Linked DNA regions of Notamacropus eugenii. The protein of the gene in region 2 interacts with the protein of the main gene of each other region in a pairwise test. Links are inferred from orthologs where the notes say so. Each region holds a gene or a part of one and is shown on either strand. Other genes may lie near its edges.

Evidence for each region. The genes of interacting proteins can lie anywhere in the genome.
Region 1: the proteins of NUP62 (region 2) and CCDC121 interact in binary tests that used the Homo sapiens proteins (3 or more experiments, as listed by UniProt). The two-hybrid records come from large-scale screens. The link is inferred for Notamacropus eugenii from reciprocal best matches to the Homo sapiens genes NUP62 and CCDC121.

Annotation. Positions count from the first base shown.
Region 1 is NC_092872.1:528,877,603-528,887,559, forward strand, and holds the start of CCDC121 (coiled-coil domain-containing protein 121), read right to left. Parts: upstream 4,210-9,957; 5' UTR 3,501-4,209; coding exon 3,406-3,500; intron 2,627-3,405; coding exon 1,668-2,626; intron 1-1,667. Other genes in the region: GPN1 (GPN-loop GTPase 1), read left to right, coding at 4,793-4,912, 5,018-5,111, 9,333-9,372, 9,873-9,939.
Region 2 is NC_092879.1:31,949,579-31,959,608, reverse strand, and holds the start of NUP62 (nuclear pore glycoprotein p62), read right to left. Parts: upstream 3,852-10,030; 5' UTR 3,738-3,851; coding exon 3,650-3,737; intron 3,328-3,649; exon of another isoform or gene 3,192-3,327; intron 3,106-3,191; coding exon of another isoform or gene 3,042-3,105; coding exon 2,910-3,041; intron 1-2,909. UniProt on the Homo sapiens protein: Essential component of the nuclear pore complex. The N-terminal is probably involved in nucleocytoplasmic transport.

The DNA of each region.
Region 1 (9,957 bases), on a different chromosome or scaffold from region 2:
CTAGATGAGGGCCCCAGTACACTATAAATATGCATATGACATGAAAATATAATTCCATACCAATAAATACATATGACTGAAAATGTTATGAACAAAGATGACTACCACAAAACCATAATCATATGAATTAGTATAACTATGCTCTTAGTTCCAAAAAATGGGAATGAGTTCTAAAACATCTAGATGAGGGCCCCAGTACACTATAAATATACTTATGATGTGAAAATATAATTCTATACCAGTAAATACATATGACTGAAAATATAATAAGAAAAGATAACTATTATAAAACCACTCTAATCTGAAACAGTAAAACTATGCTCCTAGTCCTAAAAAATAGGAATGCAATCTAAAACATATCTAGATGAGGACCTCAGTACACATAAATGTATATATGACATGTGAAAATATAATTCTATACCAATATATTGGGCTAGAATTTATCTTATAATAACCTTGGAATTCATAAGGGTGAAGAGTTAAGGATGATTTGGATGGTGATTTTCTCTTTCAAAAGTTGTTCCAGAGAAATCTGAACTGAAATAAGCTTCTTTTTCTTTCAAATGTGCCTGTAGAATAGGTATCCTGAATCATTCCATTGACTAGGGTGTTACAATGATGATTATTTCTTCCACTGCAAAGCTGTTAAAAAAACCTAATCCTTAACATATCTTTTTGCCTTCTACCATTCTCAGTAAAATTCAGAAGTAAACATAAGCTACTTAGTATCAAATCAAAACAATGCTACCAGGAAATAGGGAATTCTATTAGCTCACTTTCTTGTCCTTCACTACTACAGGGCCCCCTTGACATATTTACAAGAGTACTTCATGCTTCATTGGAACACCAAGACAAACCAAAAGCAAAAAGGCAATTACTAGGTCTTTGGCACACAACTTTAACATCTCTTTCCCCTACCCTTAAGTCTCAGATTTGTCAATAGCAGTTGGACTGGGGCCTGTACCTCCCTGTTTATGTTGCAATGGTTCAAACAAATGGGTGCAAAGACCAAGGCAACAAAAAGGGACCTACCTGTATTTGCTAATCTGAGATTTTGGAATGTCTGTGTTACCACTGTAGAGTCAATGTAAATGGTTGCCATCAAAAAGAGTTTATCCTTTGAAGAAAGTTAACATTGAGTCCCAAAGAAAGCAAACATTCATAGCTTGACTTGCTCCTTTTCCGGTCCACTATAGAGAATATCTGGTAAGCAGCCAGGGAAGCCAGTCAGTTAAATGTTGAGATGCTGGAAGATACTGAGATGGATTCTGTTTTATCATCGGAGGATGAAGTGAGTGAGGGAGGTATAGATAATTCCAGGAATTAAATGTTAAACAGCACTACAGAAGAAGTGCTAAGTGAACTTAACTCTCCTTTTAATACTTTCAATAAGCTATTATCTTAAGTCATTTTCCATAGATTTTTTTTTACCAGAAATAGGTTTTTAAATATGAACTTTTCTACTGTTGTGTTTCATCCCTCTTTCTACAGTCTGACTGATAGCCTTCTATTTCATATTCATTTCATTTTTTTTCCATTTAAAATTACAAGATCCTAGAGGCAGAGATCACTTAAGTTACTTTGTACAGCAACTAACAAAATCTGCTTAGGTGGATGTATAATAAATATTCTCACTAATTAGGATGAATTCATCCTTGGTTTGGTACCTGGGAGAGGGGCCAGCGTGGTCTTTGAACTGCTTTGTCCTTTCTGACAGGGAACAGCTCTTAGTAGTTGACGCCGTCTCCCTTCTTTGATGCTCTCCAGGCAACACTGCTCTAGCTGTAGTTGCTGCTTCTGCTTTCGAAGCCTGGTCCGCTGGGCCTCTAGCTGCTGGGCTTCTTGAATAAGCCGTACCATTTCCTTATGCAATTGTTCATTCTCATTTTGCAGTTGCCAGGTGAAATCAAGGATAGATTTGTCTGCTGCATGTTCCAGGATATGGTTGTGCTTTCCCATCATACTTTTCCCCAGCAAAAGCTCTACATCAGATAGCTGATGCTTCAGTGCTCTCCACTCTTTAACCAGATCACCTTGTACACTATGAAGGTGTGCTTTGGCCTCCTTCTGGACTCTTGGTTTTTCCATTTGCAGTGATTTGATAAGCTCCTCCTGGGTAATCTTTATTGTCCTCCTAGCATTTAATGCTTGAATCTTCTTTTTCAGTTGGGCTTGGGTCTCTTCTTGTCGCAGCAGCTCTTCCCGGAGTGATGATATATGGGACTCATAACTGGAGACCAGCTCCTGCCTTTGACATTGTATCTGCTCCAACTGTTGTGTCTGTTGATCCCATACCTTAATTGGTGCTACCTGTTTTTTCTTGGTTGGATCAGGTACATATCCCATTAGGACAGGGCTGTCACCTAAGAATGGTTGGATTTCAGCTTGCATGTGGCAATGATCATCTATGAGCTGCCTCCTCCGGGCTCGTGTTTGCATCAGTTCCCCATTCAGCTGGATCATTTTCTCCTCTACCTGTGCCTTTATTGCCAGCTCTTTCTGCACCCTTTTCTCCAACTCCTCCTGTGACTTTAAAAACTGCTGTAGCTTTTTGCTACCCATTAGCAAAGCAATATTACGATTCAGATTCAGATTCTGCCATATCATTCTGGGACCCCGAAAAAATCTGGGGGAAAAGCAGCCAGAAATATGTTATTTCTCCATTATACCTTTATGATTATTTGTGAGCTATTATTATTACCTTGATGTCACTTATCTTTCATGACACTCAGTGTGTCATCCTTCATTGGCTCAAGCCACCAACTCTTTCACCTCTCCTAAGCAACTCTCAAAAATTCAAAGGACAGTGTGAGCTGTTATGTTCAAAAGACATATGATTTCATTGTATGTTCTCCTCTTATTGACAGACTGCAACTCCTAATGTGCCTTTATAAATCACTTTATGAATTTCTGTGGTCAAAAAATTTATTATTCAGTAGCCAAACTCTAAGTAATGAAGCTTTTTTGATCTTAGCTAGGCTGGTCCTAGGGTGACAATATTTCCCAACTAATCTACTCTTTCCAGCTTGGTAGGATCTATCACAGCTTTTGACCTCTGGGTATAGACAAAATCCAAGGAGGTAGGGCAGATTACAGAAGAGGTGTACAAAAGCATGCCACTGTTTTGTAACAATAGATTCAGTAATGGCAAAACTCTGGATGTTCTGAGGCTGACAAGGAAATATAAAGTCAAAAGGAGTTTTTAAAACCTTATTTGCATTTCTGTCCCCAGATCCTAGTACAGTGCCTGGTAGGTGCTTACTAAATGTTTGTTGATTGACTGGAAGATTCCCTTTCTCTGGAAGTCCTCTAGCAAAGGCTATTTCGGGGCATGTTGTGGAGGGGGTTTTTGTCTCACATGTGGGTTGCTCAAGAAAGTCTCTGAGGTTCCTTCCAACTCCTTACCTGAGGTAGATGCTCTGTCCAGTGCAGTACAAGAACTGGGAGAAAAGTTGGGAGAATCTTTTTTTTTTTTTTTTTAGCTGTTTATCCTTTGCCATCTCTTGCTAAGCTAACCCTTTCCCCCCATGGGTCTCTGCTTTGGAGAGGTTTTCCTCCTTTGCTCCCTCCGACCCTTTTTGAGCTCACCTGTTACGAGTACTCAAATGTTGCTGATCCCAAAACTGCTGGACACGGTGCACAAGGGTAGCGGGGGTGGAGGCCAGGGAAGGAACTCCACGCGAAAGATTGAGTCTCATGAGTTCCTCCCTGTGGAAGCTTCTGGGAACCCAACAAGTGTCGACGTACAACCCTACAGGAAGATTGACGTCCGGTGACCACTTCTGAGTTTTCCCAGGGCCAGAGGACCGAGAGCTCTTGTCCTGGTCTGGGGTCTTGGGCACCGTACAGAGGACACAGTAGTCGCCTTTGCCCACTTCTTTCCTGCCTGTGGCAGGCTGAGCCTCGGAGCTCAGGGTGTCGTCGCTCTCTTCCCGAACACTTTCTTCTCTGGAGGACTTAGAATTCTCGTCCACTTCCCAGTCCTTCCCCAGTTGAGTCGAACCCAACTTTTCGCCATTTTTGTCGCCCGCTCTCCTCACCACTTCTTCACCTGTGCTTTCTTTTTGCACCCGCTCTGGAATATCCTTGATCCATTCGAGCCTCAGAACGTCTTCAAAACCAGTCCTGGGACCAGCGACGGAACCCAGGTGATTGGATTCTTCTTCATATTCCACCCCAGTCTCAGGTCCCTGTGCAGGCTCCGCCCCCTCTTCTGCCCCCGCCTCTGATTCTACTCTACTCTCAAATCCCAGTGCAGGCCCTGCCTTTGGCCCCGCCCTTGGCCCCGCCTTCGATTCCGCCCTACTCTCAAATCCCAGTGCAGGCCCTGCCTTTGGCCCCGCCCTTGGACCCGCCTTCGATTCCGCCCTACTCTCAAATCTCAGTGCAAGCCCTGCCTTTGGCCCCGCCCTTGTCCCCGCCTTCGATTCCGCCCTATTCTCAATTTCCACGGCAGGTTCCGCCCTTGGCCCCGCCTTCGATTCAGCCCTACTCTCAAATCTCAGTGCAGGCCTTGCCTTTGGCCCCGCCCTTGGCCCCGCCTTCGATTCCGCCCTACTCTCAATTTCCGCGGCAGGTTCCGCCCTTGGCCCCGCCTTCGATTCCGCCCTACTCTCAATTTCCACGGCAGGTTCCGCCCTTGACCCTGCCTCCTCCTCCTGGGTCCCTGGCCCTGTCTCCAGATCCGACCTAAACTCTGATTCCGCTCCGTTTTGCCCGCTTGCCGTCGGACTGCTACTCAGTCTCATTTCCAGCATCGCTCTGCGCAGGCGCTGCCGTACACACTGGCAAGATGGATTCTTCTGCGGGAGCGGCGGCTCCGGAGGCAGAGGGCCCCCAGCCCCGGCCTCGGCCTCCAGTGTGTCTCCTGGTGCTGGGGATGGCGGGGTCTGGGAAGACGACATTCGTACAGGTGAGGTGGGGAGAGGCTCTTGCTGGAGGGGCCCTGGCCGCGGCTGCCCGGGGTAGCGGTGGTGGGATGGCGGGAGCACCTTCACCTTCGCCTTGTCTCCCGCAGAGGCTCACGGGATACCTTCACGGCCTGGGCTCGCCGCCCTACGTGATCAACCTGGACCCTGCGGTGCACGAGGTCCCCTTCCCAGCCAACATCGGTGAGTCGGCGCGAGCGTGGGCCCGACGTGTGGAGGAGCCCTAAGAAGTTGCGGGTCGAGCCGGGCCTGTGGGCTCTTCGACCACTCTTACACCGCCCCAGCGTCCCAACCTGGCGCGGTCCCTCCCGGCCTCCCCCTCTTCCTCTTGTCCGGCTGCCCTGTTCGCTCAGCTGGGGATGTTATGACGTCATTTACTAAGATTTGGGAAACTGAAGGGACAAAAGGTCCGCTTTGCAACAGTCAGTCAGTAAGCATTTAAGTGCCGTCTATGTGACAGGCACCGTGCCAAGTGCTGGGGATACAAGAAAAAAAGGTAAAAGACATTTAAAAAACGATCAATGCTCCTACTCAAGAGGAGCCCACTGTCTAAGAGGGCAGACTTGAAAAAAAGCTATGTATAAATAAGCTATGTATGGGATAAATTTGGAACTGAGGAAGACATTTAACTCAACAGTAGACACTGAGATGTTCTAAGAGGCTCAGACTGTTCTTAGAGTCCCAAGAAACCTGGGGTACTTTATAGCACCTTGAGGGCAATTACTGCTTTATTTTATGAGTGGAAATGCTTAATGCATATTGATTGATCCAGTCTTACAATCTACCAATGGATCAACATCTGACAACTAAGTGACATTCAGTCTACGTGGAAAGCCTAAGTGCCAACTCTAACATCCCTGAGGAGTTCAATCATGAAGGCTGCCTGTGATCCTGAATCTGCCCCTGTCCATAGGACCTCCTTCCATTTTTGCGCAGTTCACTTGTTCCCATTTAAAGAACTTCATCTTTTTCTAGACAATGAAAAAATTGGAAAAGAAATTCTCCTTTAAATCTGTGACCCTAAGTTATTGACTCCTAGTGTCACTTAGGCTTCTTGTATTTTAGGGCTTCCTAATTCCCAAGCCATAGTTTTATTCTATTTCTCACCTTTTTGGGTAACCTTGAATTATGTTGTCTTTGGTCATGAGATGGCTATAAATTGGAAGGCAATCATTAAGCCAAGATACTAATTTTAGTTTGCAACAGTGTTGAAGACTTGGACTGAAAAGTTATTTCATTCTCTGTGTCCAAAATTTATTTGTTAAGTAAATGATTTGCTAGGGGAGAAGCAAAGTGGAGTAAGTAGATGGAGACCTCCCTTGACTAGGAAGATCTAAATTCAGTGCTCCTGGCAACTCTAATTAGTTGCCAAGGTGCCACCCTTCATTTATACAACTCATTTCCTCATCTGAGAATTCTCTATACCAATGACATCACAGTTCCAATCCCTTTTTCTATTCTTATTCCTGCGCCCTTGGGATACAGAACCAGAATATTCTCTGTCCTTAAGGAATTTAGGTTCTATTGTCTTGTTCTGTGTTCTCCATTCCATTCCATAGCCCCTTCCAGTTTATTCCTTGACATCTATTGAGTCTTAGTGTCTTTTAAGCTATTTTCAGAGGCAGACTACTAAAATGAATCTACTGTTTCTTAAAAGAGTACTCCTCACGAAATAAGGCCCAAGTGAAAATGGGATCATAATTACTTGAAAATATACTTAATTGTACAAATTTATATGCATTTTAATTCAGAAAAACTTTTTAAGCTGGATCATGCCTTAAAGTTATTTTTTCAAGTACTTCTATAATAAATGCTTAGTGAAAGGTTCATTAATAAATTCTATTAATTCTGCTTAAAATGGCTCATACTGTATTGTAAGCTGCTCAGAGTTAACACCTTTTGAGAAGATCATTGATAGAGTGGAGTGTATCTGGAGAAGGGCAAACTGGCTGAGTTGGGGACTTTGGAGACTTTACTAAATGTGGGTCATTTAAAGAAAGTAGAGAGGTTTAGCTTGGAGAAGAGTATGTAAGGGGAAAACGATGTTATGTGGAAGAAATATCAGACCTTAGAAGTCAGTAACATAACAACTCAGATTTATTTGGTGTGTTAAAGTTTACATACAACTTTCCTTACAGAGACAACAGGGTATAGTGGATAAAGCAATGACTTGGAATCATGAAATCCTGGATTCAGATCCTGTCTCAGATAACTTTATAGTTGTCTGACCCAGGGCAGATCACTTAATAACTTCCCTGTGACCCAGTTCCTTCATCTGTAAAATGAGAGGATTGAACTTGATGGTCCTTAAAGCCCCTTCCAGTTCTAACTGTACGATCCTTTGAGCCCCTTGTACTGTGTTCATATTAAAAGTATTGTGTGTATTTTACAGATAAAGCTTAAAGAAATTCCTTCCCAGAGTTACAGCTAGGAAGTATCAGAACCTGGTTCAAACCCAGGTCTTTTTGACTTCAAGTGGAAGGTTTTTTCCATTATGTCATGCTGCCTTTCCACCACAGAGCAATGAGTGGAAGTTTCAAAAAAATAAATTTTCGACTTAACGTAATTCAATTTAAGTTAGCAAGCATTTATTAAGTACTGTCTTTGTACCAGGCACAGGCCTTAGTGCTAGGAATACAAATATGGGCAGGAAGAAAGATAGCCATGGAAGGCATTCAAGGAGCTTACATTCTAACATGGAAAGACAATATATAAAAAGAAACTGAGGGGTTGTGAGGAGAAAAGGAAAAGTGAGGGCATGGTATAGAAAAATTTTTAGAGAGTCAGGATTAGATAAGAATGAAGGAGTGAACATACTTGGCCTGGACACTTCCTTAAAATGGAGGTTCCAGTGTGTTAAGGTTTACAAATAGCTTTCCCTGTAACACCCTAGAGGCAATATAGTATTGTTGATAATGCACTGGACTTGGAGTCAGAAAATTCTCAGTCCTACCTCAGGTACTTTCTAGCTGTATGACCATGGATGAATCATGTGAACTCTCTGTGACACAGTTTCTTCATCTGTGAAATGAGGGGATTGGTTCTTCTAAGGTTTCTTAAGGACAAATGACCTAACAATCAGTTTGTCCAGAAGTGGGACTGGCTTTTTTGGGACCTGTAGGTTTGCAGGTGAAGGCAATGTGACCATTCACTCAGAGATTTTGAGAAGATTTTTGTTCAGGAGTTCAGCATTAGATGAGTTTTGAGGTTCCTTTCAGCTTTGTGTGGGATCTAGCTCATGTTGTGGTAGGAGGTGTGTCTGTTGGAAAGTCTAGTTCTTGATTTCTCCCCTCCCCACTTATGTTATGAGCTCCTGGAGAGCAGGGATTGTCTCTTGCCTCTTTTTGTACTCTTAGTACTTAGCACAGTGCCTGGCACATGGGCACTTCATGACTGCCATGACCAAGTTAACATGCTGTCTTCTTCAAGAAGTCTTGCCCTTTTCTTTGATCTTCTCCCCACCCTCAATCTGAAAGTTTTATCTCTTCCTTGTATTTCCTTTGTCATATTACATTTGACTAGTTATCATGCCTGTGTTTGTGTATAGATTATAACTCCTTAAGAACAAACTCATCTTTGATTCTCAATACATTTAATAAATTGTTGCTGAATTGAATTGATATCTTCATTACTTAGAGGTAGTTGGGAAGGTGGGAAACTTAAAACTTATTTCTGTGTCATGTTCATATTTGGGTGGTGTGTCTTTGAATTATGGCCCCCAAAGAAAAATTTTGTACATTTTTGCACTTTTGTATATTTTGTATGTTTCCCAACCCTACTCTAGCCCATCATTCCATGGGAACATCACTGCCATGTAGCTGGGAGTTCCTCTGTCCTGTGAGCTTCCAAGTTACTGTATGAACTACTTTGATGGTTATGTCTTTGTACCCAAGGAAAACCAGTATGAATTGGTCCAAGAGAAAATTGTCTAGAATAGCTTAGAAGTCTGACTGCTAGTACCTGTTGGGGGAGAGGGGAACAATGTCAGTAAGGATTAATAGTCTAAAGTTATCCTTTGTGTTCTTCCTTCATGTAACACTATTTCTCTACTCATTCTGTTTCCACATTCTTACTTTCTGATGTGGAACATATTGGAGACAGACATAAGGACACATTCTGATGGTGAGGAAGAAATTCTTCACTTTTAAAAAGAAATAGAGGGGCAGCTGGATGGTGGGTGGGGATAGAACACTGGCCCTGGAATCAGGAGAACCTGAGTTCAAATCTAGCCCCAGACACTTGACATATCCTAGCTCTGGGCAAGTCACTTAACCCTGATTGCTTCACCAAAACAAAAGGGGAGGGGGGAACAACACTTTTGAGACCATTTTAGAGCTCTAAAATGGTGGGGCTATTCTGAGGTCTCCCAAGTGTTGGTCTGATTATTATTATTATTTTTTTTAGATATTCGGGACACAGTGAAGTATAAGGAAGTCATGAAACAGTATCCTTTTCTGTACCTGCGTTAGTGTTTTCTAACTTTTTTTTCCTATGTTTATAAACTTAGACGATTTTGCAGTGTAGTTCATATTTTATGACAAATACTAGCCCAGACATGTGAAGTAACTAATTTTTTAAAGGAGAAAAATGGAGAGTGGATCTGGAAAGGATATTATAGCTGATCTACAAACCTTTCTTAAGTGATTTCAACCTCCTTGAAATAAACCTAGATTTGTAATAAATTACAAAATGAATTTATAAAATTTGGAAGATTTTTGAAAAAATCCTTTCATTTCTCCTATCCTTTATGAAGTGAAGACTGAAAGAAAACCTTGTACCTTTGATTGTCACATAGAACTTTTGTGAGTAGGTTTTGGTTTGCAGTTTTTCAAAGCCTAATTCCTTCAACTTTGATATCAGAGTGATGTTCGCATCTGTGGTATACTAGGTATGAACTCTATTAGATTGCTTGTAAACATTTGAATTCCTAAACTTTGTGTCTAGATATGGACTTGGACCCAATGGTGGCATAGTGACCTCCCTTAATCTCTTTGCTACCAGGTTTGATCAGGTATGCATATCTCCCCTT
Region 2 (10,030 bases):
TTTAAATACTTATATGAAAAGTTGTAGCAATCAATTAACAAGCACCTACTCAATTCTAACACTATGCCATAGGCAATGGGGTTACAAATACTATATAAATACGAAAGTGTGAAGAGAGAGTCTTTGCCCTCAAGGAGCTGATAACTCTACTGGCAGCTGAAATCAATCTGAAATTACCATCCAGGACAGATCATTTTGCATCCCCCAGTAAAGCCATTCTTCTTAACTGATGCTTCCCAGGTACATTTACAGAGGCCCTGCCAAAGACTCACTTCCCTAAAACTACCTAACTTCAGGAAGAGAGGAAACACATCCCTTCTGTCCCTTCTTATTTCTCTTTGTATTTTAATCACTAAGTTCTCTTTCCTATCACCCTATCCTACCCAACTTACCCCCTCCCCCCAAAAAAAGCCAGGCTGGTTTTGGGCTCACCTGAATGTGCTAGATGGAACAAAGTATCAAACAGACTTGCCTTCAAGACACAGACAGAATTTTATTGAGCTAGCTACCCAGAATTCCAAACTGCTGAGGCTGAAGAACAGCAGACTACTTTTAAATGTGTAAAATAGGAATCCTCCTATGGGCATGCAACTTACATTCCAAGGGGAGTTTCCAAGCAAAGCATTAGCTTGGGAGAACTCAGCACACCACCAGGTCATCAAGTACCATAATCTTGGAAAAAGACACATACATTTCTAGATCCTCTAGGCAACAGCACCAATGTCAGGTCTCAGTCACACAGTAATCAACAACTGACAAGCTGGTATAGCATCTAGAACCAAAGTTCATTGAAATCAGAGATACTTTTTGGCCACTCACACCTGGTCTGTTAGTTGCAGCTATATGTCAAATGATACACCACCAAAGGGAACATATTTTATGTAGTTGTGTAAGTCTAATGCATCCACAGGGTGTTTTCAATAAGGTCTGTGCCGTTCTGTAGCTTGGTTTGAGCGGGGCACCTGTTTTCTTCTTTAAGACTGTCTCACCAGAGCAAACTGGCCAGGTTGTTTCTGGGAAATACATATTATGTCTTCTGATAAAAAGTGGCAATCATGTAATCATATCCAGTTATTTTGAATCCACAAATATCATGAGAGGCAAGCATAGTGGAAAGAGTGTAAGACTAGGAGTCAAATTAACCAAGTTCCAATACATGGTTCTCACACTTACTAGCTGACCATGGTCAGCTTCCTCATCTGTAAAGTGGGGTTAGCCATAAACAACAGCCTCATAGGATTGGAAGGACAATGCTTTGTAAACCTTAAAGTACCATGTACATGTGAGTTATCATCCTTCAGTGTGTGAGACGCACATCTGATGGATGGCACTACACAAAATAGTGAGTTCACTAGCCCAGGTACTATAATTTTTGGTCAGTCAGAAGAATAGAAGAGTTGCGGAGTGCTAATTCAGATTTTATTTATATATTACTCTCTGCAAGCTTCACCAATTTACAGAAACAAAGAGCAGATTATGCAAGGTAATAGGTAGGGATGGGGTTGTAACCCGTGATTTCACTATTACTGGGGAACTCGGTGAGTAAACTCCCTCTACAAATGGCTGGTGGGCACATTCTTTGTAACTTAAAGAGTCCTAGAGAAACTGCTTGGAGAAGCGAATCTCAAACGAAAGGGTCTCAGGGCCTCTTTACAACTCTTAAAAATTATTGAAGACTCACCCAAAGAGCTTTTATTTACCTGGGGTATATCTATGAATATTTACTGTATTAGAACTTTAGACATTTTACTATTATTATGATAAGAATTTTGAGCCGGGAACTCCCAGGGCTCTATAGAACTTAAGAGCAAGAGAGCTCCGAGGGCTGAGAAGTTAGGTCATACATCCAGTAAGTGTCAGAGGAAGAATTTCAACTCAGGTCTCCCTAGCTGCGAAGCCAGCTTTCTATCCACTATGCCAAACTTCCTCTCTATGATAATAGCTCATAGAAGAAATTTTGAGAAAAAAAAAATTTCTATTTTCCCCAATAGCTTCAATGGCCTCCTGCTCCAGCAAACTTTTTATTATGGTTGATGAAGGCTGAATTACTCCGGAGAGGTTCAGCTTCTTAGCACTGTACCAGACTACTAAGGTAAAACCTTAAATGCTGATGACTTTCCCTTTCCCCATTAAGGAAGGCACTTAACACGAGAAAAAGTAGGCAGCGTGGGCAGCAGAAAAGAAACTCAGCTGGTCTACAAATAAAATATACATGTTGATCTTACTATATACACTCATAAAAGGTATTAAATATTGATTGCCACATGGGTTAAGGAACTCCAGTGCGAAACTTAGGCAAACTCTAAATAGCAACTATTACTGATAAGTCACTGACAAACACAATGCAAAAAAAATCACCTCAGCAAATCGCAGACACGCAAGAAAATGAAAGTCAACGCTATTTCTCTATGTATTTATCAGAAAATAGTCCCCAAGTACCAAAAGCACAGAACAAGCAAAGATATTTCAGAGGCGAAAGGACAGAGCTGCCATAGTGAAGTATAAAAAGGCGGGAAACTTGGAACTTTAGGCTCGTGAGACTTTGCTTTAGTGACAGCGTGCTGCAGGGCTACACTTTATCTCCACGAGCTGGTCTTTTTCGTCCAAAGATACAAAAAGGGGTCAGAGAGGGCGCCTCCTAAGCAGGACCCCCGCCACTCCTTGTACTGAGGAAGGAGACTCAGACACGTGGAGAAAGAGAAGCCGGGTGGCGACAAAAGCAGCCCCCAGGTGCTCCGCTAAGGTCCCTGTGCCCGGCCTTTCGGCTCACAACCAGAATGCTTTGTTTGCAGTTAATGCAGCCTTCGGGCGTGGGCAGAAGTACCCAGGTACAGGGAAAGGAAATCTGTCAACTCCCGTTGGAAAATAACAGAAAAGTAAAGGTAAAAGAACCCCAAGCCGATACGAACTCACCACAATGGCTGCCGCTCCCGCTCCCGGCCCGGAAGTGAAGTTCAAACCAGGTGCGCCTGCGCAACAGCGTGCCAGCGTCTTGCGTCGGTTAGGAGGGAAGCGGTGCTGCCTGTAGCAGAGGCAGCGAACTGGAGGGGTGGAGGGGGGAAGGTTTCCCATTGGTCCGGACGTCCTATGGGCTGCTTCTTGCATCGCTCTAGAGGGTAGGCTCTTCTAATTGGTGCAAAAAGTTAGCGGGTACGAGGGAGAAAAGAGGCCAGTAGTTGCCATGACAACAGAAAGAAGCTGAGCTCTCGGACTTCTTTTTTGCTTGAGGACAAATTAGAATTTCCACCGAGTCTCACTAACCGACTTAAAGGAGGGAACCTCCAGAAAAAAGCTGAGGAAGACATTCACACAGACCGCACGTGGCAGGTAATGGCGATCCGTCCCCCTATTTCTTACGGTCCGAAAAGTGGTAACGGTCAGGGCCTTTGGGCTAGGCGCGGGCTGGCAGTCTGAGAAACGGCTGAGGGGGGGCTGAGGGGGCATGGCGACGACGAGTTAGCCGGCTGGGCTGAGGCTGTCGCCACAAAAACCCTCGAGATCGAGGTAAAAAAAAGAAAAAGAAAAGAGAAAAAAAGAAAAGAAAAGAAAAAAAGGGGGGGAAGGGAGCCCGCGTGAGCCTGCCCTCCCACCTCCCGATTCTGTGCTAGTGAAAAATGTGATGAAGGTTACCCGGTACCGCTGTACTTACGGAACGGGTTCCCCCTCTGATGTGAGTCGCCGGGGCCTGACATTGGGGATGTAGGGGTGTTTGGGCCCTTGAAAGGCCAGCGGAACATCTTGAGGCGTCGTTTGCCCAGGTGCCGTGGCGCTGAGATGCTGAGGAGATTTTTCTGGGGCGGGGCTGGGAGGAAGGCGGTCCCAGCAACCCTCTAGGGGGGCGGAGTCACAATGAGGCGGGAACGAGCTATCTCGTGGGGGAGGGGAAAGTAGAAGCGGTCTCCACCCTGATGGGGCATAATAGGGACAGCTCAACTGCCCTTTAGAGAAGGGGTGCAATGGAGGCGGTCCCAATAACCTTGCGGGAGCGGGGGGGGGGCACGGGCCGATGGAGGTGGTCCTAATTATCCTATAGGAGCGGAACACGGTGGTGGGGGTCCTCAATAACCTATGGGAGCAGTCCCAGCAGCCTTTTGGGGGCGGGACATAACGGGGGCGATACCATTTACTCCAGTGTGGGGACAAAATGGGAGCCATCCCAGCAGCCTTGTGGGGGCGGGACATAACGGGGGCAGTAACATTTAACCTGTGGAGGCACAAAATAGGGGGTCTCCCAACAGCCCTCGGGGGAAAGGGTACAATAGGGGCGGTATCGATAACATGGGGGCGGGGCCGAATGGGGGCGGTCCAAATAGTTTGTGGGGGCGGGGCATGTCGGAGGAGAGCTCTGCAGCTTAGTGGAAGCGGGGCACGATGGGGGGCAGTACTATTTAATCCTGTGGGGAGACATGATGGGGTGTCCCAAACAGCCATTTAGTGAGGGGATATTATGGAGGTGCCCTGTGTAGAGGGACCACGAGGGGGGCGGTACCAATTAACCTATGGGGGCGGGGCATGTTGAGCAGTCCCCCTCAGCCTCCTGGGGGAGGGGCAAAGCAAGGGAGATTCCACTTGTCCATTTGGGGGCTGCGTAAAGTTTGAAGTGGTCCTAGTGGACCCGTGGGGCGGGGCAGGGCAGAGAGCGAGGTTGTCTTAAGCAGCTCCCTGGGGAGCAGTCACCCCTTTGGGATAGAGTCCCCCTTTCTTGGGCAGAACCCAGGGCTTCAGACAATATCTGAGGCTACTATAACTTCTCAGTGACTGGAGTCCTAGACTGAAAGTTAGGAAGATGAGTTATTCTAATTCAGCCTCTGACACTCATTAGCTGTACCACCCTGGGCAAGTCACTTAACTTTTTACAGCCTCAGTTTCCTCCTCTGTAAAATGAGGATAATAGTGACAGTCTTGCAAGGTTGTTGGAAGGATAAAATAAGTTAATATATAATGAGCTTTGGTGTTTGATTTTTTTTTTGTATTTTAGTATCTAATTTTTCCCCAGTTACATGTGAACAGCAATTTTTTAACATTTGTTTTTAAAACTTTAATTTCAATTTCTCTCCCTTCCTGCCTCCCCAGCCCTCCTCTTTGAGAAGGCAAGCAAGTCCATATAGGTTATATATGGGTAGTCATGCAAAACATATATGCATATGTAAAATGAAGAGGCCCTGAAAAGCCATGTCTTGGACCTCCACTATGTGCTATGTACAATAAACACAGGCCAGGCCAGTCTCCTTTTTCACACTCTCCCACCCCATCACCCAATTGTGATGTTTAAAACTCTAAAAGTATAAGAGAATGAAAGTAACTGGTCACAGCAATATCACCCTCTGGGGTAAAGAAGTAGTTGTCTGCCCTGCTCAGCCTGCCCCCACACCGTTCATGCTTTTCATTTGCTCTGGGGCTGCCCTGTGACTACTAGCTAACTTAAGCAAAAACAATTCTGGACTTTCCCAGGACTGGCTAGTGGTTGGAGTGGATATCTTGATGTGTACACTAGTATTTCCATGCTTTGGGGAGCCCAAAATTTCACCAAGGTGAGGACTGATCTTGCCCACTTGGGTGAAAGCTGACCATTGTGTCTGCTCACTGTCATCAGCACTGTCCTGAGACAAATGACACCAGATCTGGGCCCGTCCACTGGTGACCTATGCCATTAGCTCTTGAGTGTCCTGTGAATTGCTCTTGTAGGAGAAACAGAAGACTAGCAGGATAATACTAGCTGAGGATGATTAATTGAAGGATAGGCTGAGTAAGCCTGACTGACAGAGTCTATGGACTACAACTCCCACTAGAAGTCATTAGTCATTAGCAGGGGCTGATTTGTCTTGATTTCTAGGGCTGATTTGTCTTGATTTCTAGGGCTGGCCAAGAGGAATAAATCCCAAGGAACCAAAAGCAAGGGGCTTCTCTTGTAGCTGCCCTAATCATTCAGATTAAAAGGGATCTGGGATCCTTTCTTGGGGGGGATCCCTTTTTTTTTTAATTAAATTTATTTATTTAACTTTTAACATTCATTTTCACAAAATTTTGGGTTACAAATTTTGTCCCCTTTTATCCCCCCCCCCCCAAACACCAAGCATTCTAATTGCCTCTATGACCAATCTGCTCTCTCTTCTATCATCCCTCTCTGCCCTTGTCTCCGTCTTCTCTTTTGTCCTGTAGGGCCAGATAGCTTTCTATACCCCTTTACCTGTATTTCTTATTTCCTAATGGCAAGAACATTACTCGACAGTTGATCCTAACACTTTGAGTTCCTACTTCTTTACCTCCCTCCCTCTCCACCCCTTCCCTTTGGAAGGCAAGCAATTCAATATAGGCCAAATCTGTGTAGTTTTGCAAATGACTTCCATAATAGTTGTGTTGTATAGGACTAACTATATTGCCCTCCATCCTATCCTGTCCCCCATTACTTCTATTCTCTTTTGATCCTATCCCTCCCCATGAGTGTCAACCTCGAATTGCACTCTCCTCCCCATGCCCTCCCTTCTATCATCCCCCCCACCCTGCTTGTCCCCTTGTCCCCCACTTTCCTGTATTGTGAGATAGGTTTTCCTACCAAAATGAGTGTGCATTTTATTCTTTCCTTTAGTGGAATGTGATGAGAGTAGACTTCATGTTTTTCTCTCACCTCCCCTCTTTATCCCTCCACTAATGAGTCTTTTGCTTGCCTCTTTTATGAGAGATAATTTGCCCCATTCAATTCCTCCTTTTCTCCTCCCAATATATTTCTCTCTCACTGCTTGATTTCATTTTTTTTTAAGATATGATCCCATCCTCTTCAATTCACTCTGTGCACTCTGTCTCTATGTATGTGTGCATGTGTGTGTGTGTGTGTGATCCCACCCAGTACCCAGATACTGAAATGTTTCAAGAGTTACAAATATTGTCTTTCCATGTAGGAATGTAAACAGTTCAACTTTAGTAAGTCCCTTATGACTTCTCTTTGCTGTTCACCTTTTCATGGTTCTCTTCATTCTTGTGTTTGAAAGTCAAATTTTCTTTTCAGCTCTGGTCTTTTCATCAAGAATGCTTGAAAATCCTCTATTTCATTGAAAGACCAATTTTTCCCCTGAAGTATTATACTCAGTTTTGCTGGGTAGGTGATTCTTGGTTTTAGTCCTAATTCCTTTGACTTCTGGAATATCCTATTCCATGCCCTTCGATCCCTTAATGTAGAGGCTGCTAGATCTTGTGTTATCCTGATTGTATTTCCACAATACTTGAATTGTTTCTTTCTAGCTGCTTGCAATATTTTCTCCTCGACCTGGGAACTCTGGAATTTGGCCACAATGTTCCTAGAAGTTTCTCTTTTTGGATCTCTTTCAGGCGGTGTTCTGTGGATTCCTTGAATATTTATTTTGCCCTCTGGTTCTAGAATCTCAGGGAAGTTTTCCTTGATAATTTCATGAAAGATGATGTCTAGGCTCTTCTTTTGATCATGGCTTTCAGGTAGTCCCATAATTTTTAAATTGTCTCTCCTGGATCTATTTTCCAGGTCAGTTGTTTTTCCAATGAGATATTTCACATTATCTTCCATTTTTCCATTCTTCTCTCTTTGTTCTGTGATATCTTGCTTTCTCATAAAGTCATTAGCCTCCATCTGTGCCATTCTAATTTTGAAAGAACTATTTTCTTCAGTGAGCTTTTGAATCTCCTTTTCCATTTGGCTAATTCTGCTTTTGAAAGCATTCTTCTCCTCATTGGCTTTTTGAACCTCTTTTGCCAATTGAGTTAGGCTAGTTTTCAAGGTGTTATTTTCTTCAACATTTTTTTGGGTCTCCTTTAACAGGGAGCTGATCTGCTGTTCATGCTTTGACTTCATGTCTCTCATTTCTCTTCCCAGCTTTTCCTCCACCTCTCTAACTTGGTTTTCAAAATTCTTTTTGAGCTCTTCCATGGCCTGAGCCCATTGGGTGGGCTGGGACACAGAAGCCTTGATTTCTGTGTCTTTGCCTGATGGTAAGCATTGTTCTTCCTCATCAGAGAGGAAGGGAGGAAATGCCTGTTCTCCAAGAAAGTAGCCTTCAATAGTCTTATTTCTTTTCCCTTTTCTGGGCATTTTCCCAGCCAGTGACTTGACCTCTGAATATTCTCCTCACACCCACCTCGCCTCCTGGTCCTCCCAGCCAGCGTTTGGGGACTGAGATTCAAATGCTGCTTCCAGCCTTAGGGCTTTTGGCGGGGGCAGGGCTGCTGTTCAGTGTGAGATGAAGTTCAGGTGGTCAGGTCGGGGCAGGGCCGCCTCTCAGGCTCAGTTCCCTCAGGGGGTTTATGCACAGACATTCTACAATGGATCCAGGCTCCCGCCTGCTTGGGGAGCCCTGGTCTGCAGCCGCCTCTCAGCTTCTACCTCCCGGGGGGGCCCGAGTCATGGTGGCACCCCACTCCCCTCTCGACCCGCCAAAGAGACTCTCTCACTGACCCCCGTCACCTGTGGGTGGAGGGACTTGTGTGGCCGCTGGAGAGCCCGTCCCCGTAGCCTGCTCGGATCTTTTCTTCATGGTGTCGCGGCCGCTGCAGGGCTGCCCTCAGCTCCCAGTCCCGGCACCCAGTCCACAGCGCGAAGGACCCCCCGCGAGAGGTTTGCAGGTCTCTCCGGAACAGAAATCTCCCTCGCTCCAATATTCTGTGGCCTCTGGGTGCAGAATTCGCCGTGAGTTACTTCCCTGTAACCGTTCTATGGGTTGTGGGTTCGGAGCCGGGATCTCTTTTTAAAAGGCATCTGGGAGGAAACATGGCTCTCCGCAATAGGAACACTGGTAGCCCTTGGTTAAAAAAGGGCTTTGGGGATGCAAAGGAGTAACCCCAGGACCTCTGAGGGCTAGAAGTGGCACTAAACCTTATCCTAGTTCCTAGAAGTGACACTGAGGTTAGATTTGAGTGGTGTACCACCAGACTGGTTAGGTAGGGAGAGACTGAAAACCTAGAGTCTGCCTAAGTCACAGAAGTGATTATGTAATCTGAACTGGACCCATCTCTAACCTGTGAGTGGCTGGAGCTAAACAAAGCAGGCCAGAAGCAGGTGAGTCAGGATTCAAATAATGGTTTAATTTCAAAGTGAGAAAATCAGGTTTGCAAACCAATGTCCTCCTGAGGAGGACTTATGACTTTATAGTAGAATCACAACACAGTTATTCTTATGTCTTGAGTAAACAGTTTCCACAGTTGGCATTTCTTGGGACAATACAGGAGTTCTTGGGTCCTACGTAAACAGTTCCCAAATTATTGGAGTTGTTGAGCTTTGTGATCACTCAGTGGGGTATAGAACCAGAGTTAACATGGCAGGAACAGGAGTTCAGCATCTGGTTCGGTTCACTCAGTGGTTACATAAGCACAGGAATTGTTAAAGTGTCAGGGGAGGTGATTGATATTGATTAATATGAAAATCATAAATTCTTCAATGGATTCCTGGTGCTGGTCAAAACAATACATTTTGCCAGAGGGTGGGATCATCCAGAGAGTGAGCACAAAGGATTGTTGCTATGCCAAGCTCAGGGCACAGCCTGCTTTCTGGGCCTTAGCTCTGGAAAATAGAGTGTCTCTTAAAATCTTGACAATGTAGAGGATTCCTACCTCTATATATCTAGCCCTAATTTCTCTTCTGAACTCCAGGTTCCCATCATTAACTGCCTTTTGAACATCTTGAACTGGATATCCAATCCAATATCTCAAACTCAAAGTGTCCAAAACTGAACTCCTTAGCTTTTCCTCCAAACCCTATCTATCCTCTTTCAAACTTCCCTATTGCTTTTTTTTTTTAACATAGAAGGCTTCATAAATTTACATGTCATCCTTGTATAGAGGCCATGCTTATCTCTGTATCGTTCCAATTTTAGTATAAGTGCTACCAAAGTAAATACTTACCTATTACTATTGAGGACACTACCATCCTCCCAGTTAGCCAGGCTTGAAACCTAGGTGTCATGCTCAATTCCTCACTTTTTCTCACATCCCTCCCCTCAGCTTGTATGCAATCTGTTGCCATGACCTGTTGATTTACTTCCGCAACAACTCTCCAATATGTCCCCTTCTC